3 linked regions of the Diceros bicornis minor genome follow. The protein of the gene in region 1 binds, or shares a complex with, the protein of each later gene. Links are inferred from orthologs where the notes say so. Each region holds a gene or a part of one and is shown on either strand. Other genes may lie near its edges.

Evidence for each region. Proteins that work in one complex are often made in the same cells at the same time.
Region 2: GTF2F2 (region 1) and GTF2H4 share a complex: the UniProt entries of both Homo sapiens proteins name them as parts of the TBP-based Pol II pre-initiation complex. The link is inferred for Diceros bicornis minor from reciprocal best matches to the Homo sapiens genes GTF2F2 and GTF2H4.
Region 3: GTF2F2 (region 1) and POLR2K share a complex: the UniProt entries of both Homo sapiens proteins name them as parts of the TBP-based Pol II pre-initiation complex. The link is inferred for Diceros bicornis minor from reciprocal best matches to the Homo sapiens genes GTF2F2 and POLR2K.

Annotation. Positions count from the first base shown.
Region 1 is NC_080748.1:31,595,308-31,599,055, reverse strand, and holds the start of GTF2F2 (general transcription factor IIF subunit 2), read left to right. Parts: upstream 1-1,387; 5' UTR 1,388-1,603; coding exon 1,604-1,669; intron 1,670-3,748. UniProt on the Homo sapiens protein: TFIIF is a general transcription initiation factor that binds to RNA polymerase II and helps to recruit it to the initiation complex in collaboration with TFIIB.
Region 2 is NC_080753.1:34,269,034-34,272,781, forward strand, and holds the start of GTF2H4 (general transcription factor IIH subunit 4), read right to left. Parts: upstream 2,510-3,748; 5' UTR 2,310-2,509; exon of another isoform or gene 2,282-2,309; intron 1,908-2,281; 5' UTR 1,905-1,907; coding exon 1,765-1,904; intron 1,487-1,764; coding exon 1,382-1,486; intron 1,028-1,381; coding exon 896-1,027; intron 652-895; coding exon 555-651; intron 463-554; coding exon 374-462; intron 154-373; coding exon 42-153; intron 1-41. UniProt on the Homo sapiens protein: Component of the general transcription and DNA repair factor IIH (TFIIH) core complex, which is involved in general and transcription-coupled nucleotide excision repair (NER) of damaged DNA and, when complexed to CAK, in RNA transcription by RNA polymerase II.
Region 3 is NC_080760.1:18,723,690-18,727,422, reverse strand, and holds POLR2K (DNA-directed RNA polymerases I, II, and III subunit RPABC4), read right to left. Parts: upstream 2,548-3,733; 5' UTR 2,473-2,547; intron 1,875-2,472; 5' UTR 1,866-1,874; coding exon 1,805-1,865; intron 1,474-1,804; coding exon 1,381-1,473; intron 730-1,380; coding exon 707-729; 3' UTR 519-706; downstream 1-518. UniProt on the Homo sapiens protein: DNA-dependent RNA polymerase catalyzes the transcription of DNA into RNA using the four ribonucleoside triphosphates as substrates.

The sequences.
Region 1 (3,748 bases):
GCATCTGAGTAAAGGAAATTGAGGCTCAGGGCAGAGGTTCTGAAATAACTGAGGAAGATTCTGATGTGTTCATGATACTGACCCTCTTAATCTCAAATTTGTGTGCCGGATGTGCAATAAGCCAATCACTGAGACATCGTGCTTGGAGATGGAAAAAGATTTATTCAAAGTGGCCAAAATGAGAAGGTGGGAGGATAGGTTCTCTCAAATCCACCAAAGCCCCAATAGATAGTTGTATGTTACACTTGCACATCCTGCTAGTTGCTGTATGTGGGACACGGCCTCAGCATGGCCAAACAAGTGGTGTGTTCTGCGTCGCCGGGATCTGAAGCCAGGCCACCAGTAGCAGATGTGCACACTTAACCGCTAAGCCACCGGGCCAGCGCTCAAATCCACTTTAACAAGAGAAGAAAGCAGGGGGTTTTATAGAGCTAAGGGGCTTGGCAGGGGGAGTTTTGGAGAAACAAAGGGTAATCCCTGTTTCTTTCACACCTAATAAAGCCCCTGGGCAATCTGACTCCTGAGCGTCCACAGGAGCTGGGGGCTGGTTATCTGTTGATCCTTGAAAGCATTCTTTTTCTTCTGCAAAACAAGCTCATAAATCCTTGTGACCCCTGAATAACCCCTCAGGTAAAACAAGAAAACAGCAAATTGACAAGATTAAGTTCTTTTCATCTATGTCTGTGTTGGGAACAAGGTCAAAAGGTAATCTTATTGAACATTTACAGTAACCCTCAGGTACCCGGCTTCCTTCAGAGTGTTCTGATGGGTTCCGCGTTGTTGGATGTGTGCAGCATTGAGTGGCAGGGATCAAATTGAGAGGGCCTGGGTAGAGAGAATTGAATTTTATTCTAGAACTAAGAAGAGAGAGAGGAAACTATTTAAGCAGCGGAGTCTGACAGTCAGCTTTGTCTCTTATATGTCCATTGTCACTGCCCTAATAATATGGACTCCTGGTTTTGGAGTCTGAAAGGGGGTGTGGTCTGCTTGCTTAATCAGAGGTGTTCAGAGTAGCCTCTCAGTTGAGACATTGCTTTTTTTTCAGGTCTAGAAAGAGCTTGTTTTCCATATACCCAGGGCTATTCAGTCTAATCCCAGCCCTCACTTCTGCTAATTCACTTCCTCTATTTATTACTCTGACATTGTCCTCCTAATGCTGTTTCCTCTCCTTGGCCAGAGTTGGACTTATACTGACAGCCTTTGTCTCTTTGAATCCCATTTTTCTGTTTTGATACTTTTTTTCTTCAGTTAAGTCGACCTAGTCTTTAAACGTATTGGTGACGTTTTGGCCCATGCCACCCTATGTTTTAATCACTGAGACACAGCCTGCGCTAGTAGCCACGCCTACTGGAGAAGTTGCCAAACCAGGAAGTTTGTCCGCACTAGCGCGCCGTACTGACAGTGGCAGTGCGCAGGCGCAGTTCCCGGCTCCCAGCGGCGTGTTCCTTGTTCCCCAGGTTCCCAGCGTCCTGGCAGGTGGACGCCGAGTCTTCCAAGTCTGCCTCCGGCCGCGGCTTGTCTTGTGCTCCAGTCCCTAACTCCGCAGCCCCTCAGCTCCCTGGGCAGCTGCTGTGGCCCGGACGCCTCCACCGGCGACAGACCCATGGCCGAGCGCGGGGAACTCGACCTGACCGGCGCCAAACAGAACACCGGAGTGTGGCTGGTCAAGGTAATGTTCGCGCGGGTTCCGCTTGCACTCCTCCTAGTATAAATAGTTTAAGTGACTTGAGACCGTCCCATTCCGTGCGCCTTTTAAAGCTCTTTACTGCCATCTCGTTAGAGCTTCACATAACTTGAGAGGCAGAACTTACTGTTATGTTCGTTAGAAGACGAGAAAATTAGTTTAGGACACATAGTGTCTTTACTCAGTTAAGAGTCCGGACTTGCCTGGAATGGATCTCTTTTCCCCACGACCTGATTTTGCTGGGCCCCTGTCTTGGTGTCCCCCGACTTGAGCGGTGCATTTTACCCCACACTGAAGAATTTCTGCATCTTGTCTTGGTGAAACTGATTTTAGTCGTGAGTCTGTAGGAGGAAGTTGAGGGTCTGCTTTCTGTACAGTTTTCTCGGTCAGAAAGTAGAACTGGTTCCTGCGTACCCTTAAAGTGTTTCCTTTGGTTGATGGCCCTTAATGGAGTTCTCAGGAGAGCGAGATAGCTCTGAACTCGCGGAAGGAGAGGCCATTGGACTGGAGTGTTCTTTTAGGGCACGACTGGGTCTCGTGACACTGGCCGTCAATAAAAGTTTTTTTGTAAAAACAGCAATCTTGATTAGTCCTTAGCACAGTATTTGTGCTTTACTTTTTCATATTGGGGAGTGTTATCTCTTAGGGGAGTTTCATAAGACATATGTATGTTCAAAATGTGATTATGACAGTCTTTGAACCTCAAGCAGAATGTAGGGACCTTTGGTTTGTTAATTTTTTTAAAAACTTTTACCACACGGCTGAGTTTTCATCAATTAAATCTGAGAGGCCTTTCCTATCCACCTCTATAAATAGCTCCCTTATAATCATTCACTAGCATGTCAAACCTGTATTATATTCTTCAAAGCGCTTATCATACAGTGATTCTATGTTCATGTGTTCGGTGTTGGTTACTTCCTTCTCCCCAGCGCTTGCGCGTGCGCACACACGCACCCACCCACCCACAGTCACCTTCCATGAGAATAGGATCCTTGCCTGTCACACCCAGAATTGTGTCTGGCACATGGTAATTGCTCAACAGATATGTGATGAATGAATGAATACTCTCTTATTCTTCATCCCTAACCTTAGTCTCGGGCACTCATTTGACTTATCCCAGCTATATGAATATGACTTAAAAGGATGGAGTAAATGAGCCTTTCTCTCTCCTACTGCATGCTAAATGGAGGAGAATCGTTAAGGAGATCTCCCTTGCAGACTGAAAGAGCGAGCTTGAAAAAATGGTGGAATTTGAGACGATGCATTTGTGCTTGGAGCATTGTAGATGCTCAATAAACGTTTGCCTTACAGGTTTTGGATGGGTAGACAGAGGCATAGCATAGTGTACCATAGAGAGTGGAACAGAAATGCAAGACTGAAAATGCACATTAACATGGTATGTCCTGGAAAACAGATTATTATGCTTAGAGCAGAGGGTCTGTGTGAAAAAGGTTGGGACCATATACTCATTGTCATATCGTGAAATGAGGATGTCTTAACCTTAGTCTGCAGGAAGTAAGGAACCTTTTGGAGGATTTTGAGTAAGGCAGGGGTGCAAATGATTTTTTCAGGGAAAAAAAAAAAAACTTGAGGGGAAGATAACCAGAGTCAAAATTAGAAAATTATCACAGGATCATGGGTGTATGGTAATGAAGTCTGAGGAGGGAAACTTTTTCAGTGAAAGTTGTCAGGATTTGTTGACTAAATGAGAATGTGAAAGAATGTAATGAATCTAAAATGAAGAAGTTAAAAAATTTTAGGGCTCTCATATATGGCCATTTGAATACATTTTCTCTCTTTAAAAAGAACTCAAGGGGCCGGCCCCGTGGCTTAGCGGTTAAGTGCGAGCACTCCGCTGCTGGTGGCCCGGGTTCGGATCCCTGGTGCGCACCGAGGCACCGCTTCTCCGGCCATGCTGAGGCCGTGTCCCACATACAGCAACTAGAAGGATGTGCAGCTATGACATACAACTATCTACTGGGGCTTTGGGGAGAAAATAAATAAATAAAATCTTTAAAAAGAACTCAAGTGAAGCCAATGATTTGTTCTCGTTTTCTAAAGGTA
Region 2 (3,748 bases), on another chromosome or scaffold:
AAGAGCAGAGCATATGGGCAAGTAGCCCCCGGCATCCTCACCTGGGCTGTCTGCAGATACTGCAACATAAAGTACCAGAGCTGGGCAGGGGTGTCCAGCAACAGGAACTGGAAGCCAGCAGAAGTAATGCAGGGCGGCTCTCCAGGTTCAGTACTAGAGATGTAGAGAGGGACAATGATAGAGGTATGCAGAGAAAGGCCACCACCCCGACTTGTCCTCTCACGTTCTTTCTTGGTTTATCTCTGGCCATGCTCCACTCAGCTCTCCTTTTTCAGTCAACTCCCTCCAATCCTGACCCGCCCCGGACGCTCAGTTTAGCAGGGACCCAAGGAGATGGCAAAGCATGGAGCTGTGGTACCTCTGGCCTCCTCACCTCTTCATGAGCCCAGCCTGGCTGAGGAGCTGAGCCAGGTCCTGGCTGACGGCTGCACTGGGGGAGCCCACCATGAAGTGCAGGACCACCTGAGGAATGGAAGAGAGCAGAGAGACCAATGCTTCTAAGGGCCGTGGGATGTAGGAGCAAAGCAGACACACACAGAGTCCCAAGGCCTCACCTCCCATCGCTCTTCTGCGTACTTGTCAAGTGAGGGGACATCCCGGGCATGCTTGTCTGGTCCCAGCTGACTTGTGTCATCAGACCAGGCCTTGCCCCTGTGCCAGGATGTGCCAAGAGTAAGGAAGCCTGCCTGTGTTCCCCGCTCATCCCTCTGCCCTCTTTCTACCCTCACGGGCCATGAGTGGGAGACACCATGCAGCTACATCTGGTCCACCTCATTCCTAAAGGAGCTCCCCAAGGTGGAGCCCCCCACCTGCAGTTTAATTAAACTGCAGTTTAATTAGCAGTTTAATTACTAGTGCCCCTGGTTTAGCTTAGGAAGAGATGGAAGTGACATACCCACCCAGGAGGGCAATGCGGAGGTTCTGGCGGAAGATGGGATTGAGGATGAGGCCCTGGAGACCACCAGGGAGCAGCTGCGTGTGCCAGATACGGAGGCTGCTCAGCAGCCCTGTACTTTCCTCCTGAGCTCTGTAACAGAAACAGAGAAGTGAAAAGGGTGTCTGGAGAGCAAAAAGAAGGAGGGCCATATAGGCCCCAGTTTCTGCCTTTTCTGAACTGGTAATCCTTGGAACACTTTCACAGAGTGAAATCAGTGTCTTCTTAAGGCAAATTTCTTTACCACAACACCTACCAGAGCCTTGTTATAGATATCACAACTCTCCAAGAGGGAAAATACAGTATACAGAGTTTCCCAAACTTATTTAATGACAAGTTTTGCAGTGTACCCATTAATATTCCCTGGAAGTGTTCCAAGGAACAGCAGTTTGGGAAATCTAGCTGTTAAGAAATTTGTATCTGGCTGAGAATGCAGTAGAGACTCACTTGCTGAATTCCTTCTTCACCCACAGGGCTACAGCAGCTTGCGGCAAAGGCTGCTCCAGAAAGAGCATCCGCATCACCCAGTTCTTAGCCAAAGATGGGAGCTCCCTGTGAGGTGGTAGATAAAATGTTAATATCAGAAACTGCCTTAGATCTGCATCTCTGCCCTCAACAGCCTCGCAAACATCTCATCTCCCCCCCCACACACACACACACACACTTGCACCAGTCTTGCTGCCCCCACAAACTCTGTCTGGGCCTGACACACTTTAATCTCCAACACCTCCCCGCCCCGGGGCTAAGCTTCTGCCCATGGTAACTTATTCCAGTCTGCAGGCCCCATTACATTTCCTCACCATGGTCCCTGCCATGAAAGGCGTCCTCACCTGAAGACAGCCAGACAGGTGGCAGGGTGCCCATACAATCGATCCAACACCCCAGGGCTCAGGCCCCCTAGGAATTCCTGCAGATTCCTGCATTGTAGGTGTACTCGGTTCAGTCCACCCCTTGAGGGGGTGCTCTCCATCACCTGAGAGATGCAAATGTTAGAAACAAGTCCCCACAATCCATGCCAGTGTCACCCCTCACCTTCCTCATTGTGTTTCCAGATCCACTGCTCCCCAAAATAACCCATCTTTCCTATAGTTTCCTTGTGCTTGTCGCTCATCTCCTCTGGTTTCTCCCAAACCTGACCAACCTGGGCGCGGCAATAAACAAACTTTCCCCTCCATGTCTCCCAAAGCTAATTCCACCTGTTTCCTCCTCCCCGCCAGGACTACTTCACCCCGTTCACCCTGATCCAAACCCGATCTCCTAACTTCTCTCCTACTTACCTCCCACTCCTCGCCCCTCACTCAACTCTCTCTTCTACCTCCGCCTCCCCCCCTCTCCCGGCCCCCTTACTGCTCCGTGTCGATCCCCCCTCGTGCACCGTGAGTCTCAAGCCGTCGTTTAATCGGGGCCGATGTCTTGCATTGGCTCTCGGGAATAGGGGGAAAGACAGTGAAAAAAATGAGAGAAAAAGATGGGGAGAGGGACGAAGGACTTTACAGACAGGAGTCCAGAGTAGAGGACTCAGAAGAGAAGGGAAGGAAGGGAAGACGTGGGAAAGAAAGGAGGATAAAGATAGGCGCTGCACTCGCCTGCCGCGGGGCATACTGGGAATTGGAGTCTTGTTCTTGCCCATCCTGGAGGAGGCTGAAGTGCGTCTGACTACAACTCCCAAAAGGCACGGCGGGGAAGCAGCGAGGAGGGAGGCTGGGCTTTAATTGAGAGAGCCCGGAACATCGGAGGCGGGGCTCCTTCGTTCTGTGTTGCTCTCCACCCACGCATCCTAACGGCTTTCCTAACCAACTAGTGTAGGAGGGGGGACGGCAAGAGTAGAAGTGCCCCGAGGGCTTCCTGGCGGAGGCGCGGACACGACTGGGTGGTGAGGCGCTTACATTTAGAGATGGACGAAACTGGCTTCCTTGAGCTCAGTTGCTCCCAGTAAGATCAGAATAATGCGCTCTCCAGAGCGTTTTCGCGAGTTAGGAGGTAACATGATCAATGCGCCTTACTGGGCACGTAGTCAATAAATCTTAATTGCCACGTCCACCATGCTCCCCACCCCCCCGGTTTAGTTAGAAAATCCTAATAAATTCAATATTTAAAAGAAACCAATCGTTTGGTCTGATCTGGTTTATGAAACTACTGCAGGGAAATGTCTTCACCCAAGGCCGGAGCTACACGTTCCCCCAAGTTTCTGTAAAGCGAGTTGTTTTATTCCCACTTTGCAGACTAGAAGACCGAAACTCGGTGAGATTAAGACATTTGCCGACGATCAGGCAGAAAGTGCCGCAGCTAGGATTTGAAGTACGTTCGCAAGGGCCCAGGGACCGAAACGTTAAGAACTGTGTAAGACTTTGTTATGTCTCGTAGCTCACGGGTGTTTGTTTTGTTCCGTTTCTTTAGCGATCAGTGTTTAAAATCCTCAAAGAATGATACAAAAGTGACAGAGTTTCTTTATGGCAAACGTTAAGGAAGGTTAAAAGACAAATTACAGTGTAGGAAGAAATATTTGATAAAATAGACTAAAGAGAAAGAGCTCTTACAAAGCAATAAGAAAAAGAAACAAAACAATAGAAAGATTGACAAAAGAGATTACAGGCAATAAACAGAAGAAATGCAAATGATTTAAAACCAAACGAAAGAACTCTCAACTTCACTAGTAATTAAGGAAAAGTAAATTAAAGAAACAATAAAATATCCTATTAGCAAAAAAATAAAAAAAGAAATTAAGGATTGACAACCTCAGTGTTGGCCTTGGTGTACATGAGGATGTGAGCATACTCATAAACTTTTGTTGAAGATTGACATAGGCACGCCTTT
Region 3 (3,733 bases), on another chromosome or scaffold:
CAGTTTGGATCCTGGGCACGGACCTACTCACCACTCATCAAGCCATGCTGAGGCGGCGTCCCACACAGAAAAACCAGAAGGACCTACAACTAGGATACAACTATGTACTTGGGCTTTGGGGAGAAAAAAAGAGGAAGATTGGTCTCAGATGTTAGCTCAGGGTCAATCTTCCTCAAAAAAAAAAAAAAAAGATAGTCAAGCATTATATACAAATACAGAAAGGTCTATGCCAAGTAACAAATGAAAAATATAACTCAAAATGAGGTATGCACACTGACAGTAAGTGCATTGATACACTCTAAAACAAAATGATGCAAGAAGGTTAACAAACAGTTGGTGATGTTAAACAGTGGTTTCCAAGGAACGAACTTAATCACACCTTTAGAGGGCCGTAGAAAACTTCATTTTTAACAAGGGCCCCAGATGATTCTAAGTTTTGATTGAAAGTGCAATTTGGGGAAGCACTTTTAACCTCCATTGTGCGTCAGATTACATACACAATAAAATTAAATTGTAAATCATGTAATCGAACAGAAGTAATTTATTTATATAAACTATTAATAGATACTAAATACAATATGGTTTTAAAATGAAATCATGTGTATACAGTTGTCTTCATAAAGAAAAGTATACTAATCAAAAGCTATACAACAACATTAACAGCAAATCCAAATACAAATGAAGATATTCTTCTGAATTCCATGTCTCATCGAGCATCAAAAACCACCACTGTATTAAACTGAGTTAAGGACAAAAAAAGTATTTAAAAATTGATCTAACACTTCCAAGTCACTTTCTCTTTGCAATAAGCTTGTTTGTTATTTAATCTAAAATGCACAAAAAAATGGAATTCACTATTTACTATGACAAGTGGAAATGAACTAAAAAAACTATTTCTATTTTTATTAGTCCCCTTTCCAAAGTGCAAAAGACCAAAGCACCAAAAAACACTGAAGCAATGTTAAAGGTGATAACTTATTGATTTAAAAAACATTGTTAGTTACCACATAACAATTTACTCTCTTTCAGCTAATTTGTAAGCTTCACTTTTTCCATCAGGTAGCATACATACACAATATTGTGATTTCTCCTTGTATAATTTAGTTTGTTCATAAACTCAAGCTCAAGAATGAGTACTTTGTGAAATAGAGAATCCCTGAAAAACAGACTTAAGAGAACCAAAATCAACTAGTATTTAGATTATTTAGTATATGCCTATACATTGGCATACTGGTCCATGAAAATGCTAATCATGCCTTTTTTGGTAAGTAATCCAAAAGTTATTACCATTTTACCAGAAATTAGTCTTTGACTCGCAACCCAAGCATTACTCTTCACTTCCTCCCATCTCATATTTAGAAAGCATAGTTAAAAGGATACATCTTTTAGTCCTTTTCTTATACATTATTCTGTATCCACATTCTCTGCATCTGATTGGATCTCTGGATTTTATTTCATTTTCTGTGTGACATTCTAGAAAAGAAAACACATTTATTCAATGTCTAAAGGGAAATATTACAGACAAACAAATTATCTTAACCATATTTTTCACCCAGAACACCAAAATATACTCCATCTCAAGGGAATGTTGCTATCACCAATATATTAATGGGGAAAGAAAAAAAGATGTGGTGCAATGCACTTTTTCAGGACAGAAATCTTAATGAGAGGATTTTTTTACGGTTGCTAAAGTATTCTGCTTTATAACTTTAAACTTGAGCGACGCATTTAAGCCAAAGATAAAAGTAGAAATTTCAAAAAACTGAAATAAAATACCCTTACTTTATGTAAGTGCTACTCTTACCTCCACAGATATATATCATTGGCTGCTGCTTTGGGGGTTGAACGTCCTTCTGGGTGTCCATTGTTAGTCCCTGAAATCACAGACTTAAATACTGAATATCTCAAAGGGGCTCTTCACAAATCCAACCAGCCCTCATTTTTCTCTGAAAGCTAAAAACGTCCCAATTCCTAATCTGTACTTTTTCAAACCCTATGAGGTGTAAAGCACGAAACAAAAAAACAACATATTGCGCAATTACCCCCAAACTGGACACAAAAGTAAATACATTATACGTGTTATTTCATTTATACGTCATTTCACTACAATCTTTACAACACTCCTAGGAGGTATTACTCTCCTTTTACAGATGAAGAAACCGAGGCTTAGAAAAGTTAATTTGCACAGGATTATTCAGCTATTAAGAGGCAGAAAGATTCAGATCGACTTTAGCAGGAGATGGCCACAAAAATAATACCCCTCAACAGGGGAACAAGCGAACCGAAGATAAGGGAAGGATAATGAAACAACCCCCAATAGCCAAACAGCTCAACTGAAAGAAACCAGGCAAAGGACTAAAGCATTGACTCTATCCCCAGCCTCTCCCAACTCTAAATCCACACCAGACCTGTTTAACCCGAGTATCTTGCCAGTTTTGGCCCAAAATCCCAACCCGCCAATTCCCTACCCACCTAGCAAGGAGAACGTTCTCACCCTACGGTTCCACACAGATTCCGGCTCGTCGCTCCGTCTCAGCCAACTTCCGGCGTTGGTGTATGACGCGGAGTGGAGTCTCCGCCCCTTCCGCCCTGGGCGTAGCCGAAGAACCCGGATTGAATACAGGCGGTCAAGCCGGGCGTTTTGCATATTAGGCTTAGCGGGCAATAGTGCATGTTAGCGTTACAGCTATTTTCATTTTTCAGCACGTCAAAGCATTTTAACAGTTCCTCAAGTCAAAGGAAGTTCGTTTTCCTGACTAATGTAGTCTGTAGAAAGTAACACTTTTCCAGAAGGGCGGGGGGTTAGAAGAGAAACCAAAATGACAAGTGCCCGTGGAATCCTAGGCTAACCATTATTCCGAGGAACGTGGGAGAATCGACTTCACTGCTGATTTTTCACGTGGAAAAACACTTTTCAGATTATGTTTTTCGAACGGTTTGATATCTGTGCTGGGGCGGTGGAGCAGACGCCTCCTATCCTTCACATAATTTCGTTTTTGCTTTTCGACCCTTTCTGTTCTAGGCTCCTGTCATCCCTCTCACCCACTCCTTTCACTCATTTTAAAGCAAAGGCGGGCGTGAGGGCAGCTACGTCAATTACTCCCACCTACAGCTGAGGGATTTTGGTAGCGGTGGCTATCCACTGACGCTCCTTCCGTCACATGTATTGTCCTCCAGAACAACAAAGTAACCTGCCATGTAAGGTTGGGTTCTTTCAAAGATCAAAATTTCAGTGAGATTAATGTCAGTTGGTTTTACAACATTTACATTCATTTGCTTCTTTCACAGTAGTATTTTACTTACAACAGAAGGAGGAAGAAGAAAATGAAGTTATTAAAATTTAGAAAATAACCAGTCGTTAACAACTATTATAGTTAATCGGAGAAGCAGATTTCTTTCTCCCCAACATGCACTACATCTTTGCTTTCTCACTAAGCAGGCTATACTGCTTTCCCATCTTGCATCCAGCAACTTGAGAACTTTGAGCTTAACCTGTCACTTTCAGAAGGAGTTCCAGCTGGTTGCACCTCCACAGACCAACTTGTGAGATTTAACTTGATATTCCCAGTCTTCCTAGCTGCCAATTTTTTAAATTTCCAGGGAAACACACCGGAATTTCCTGCTTCTTCCTCCACAGACAGGCTAATATAGAGCATAAATATTTGGACCATCAGCTCTCTCACAACATACTTCTCCTCTCAACCAAAGAAAAGAGGTAATCCAATAGAAGAGT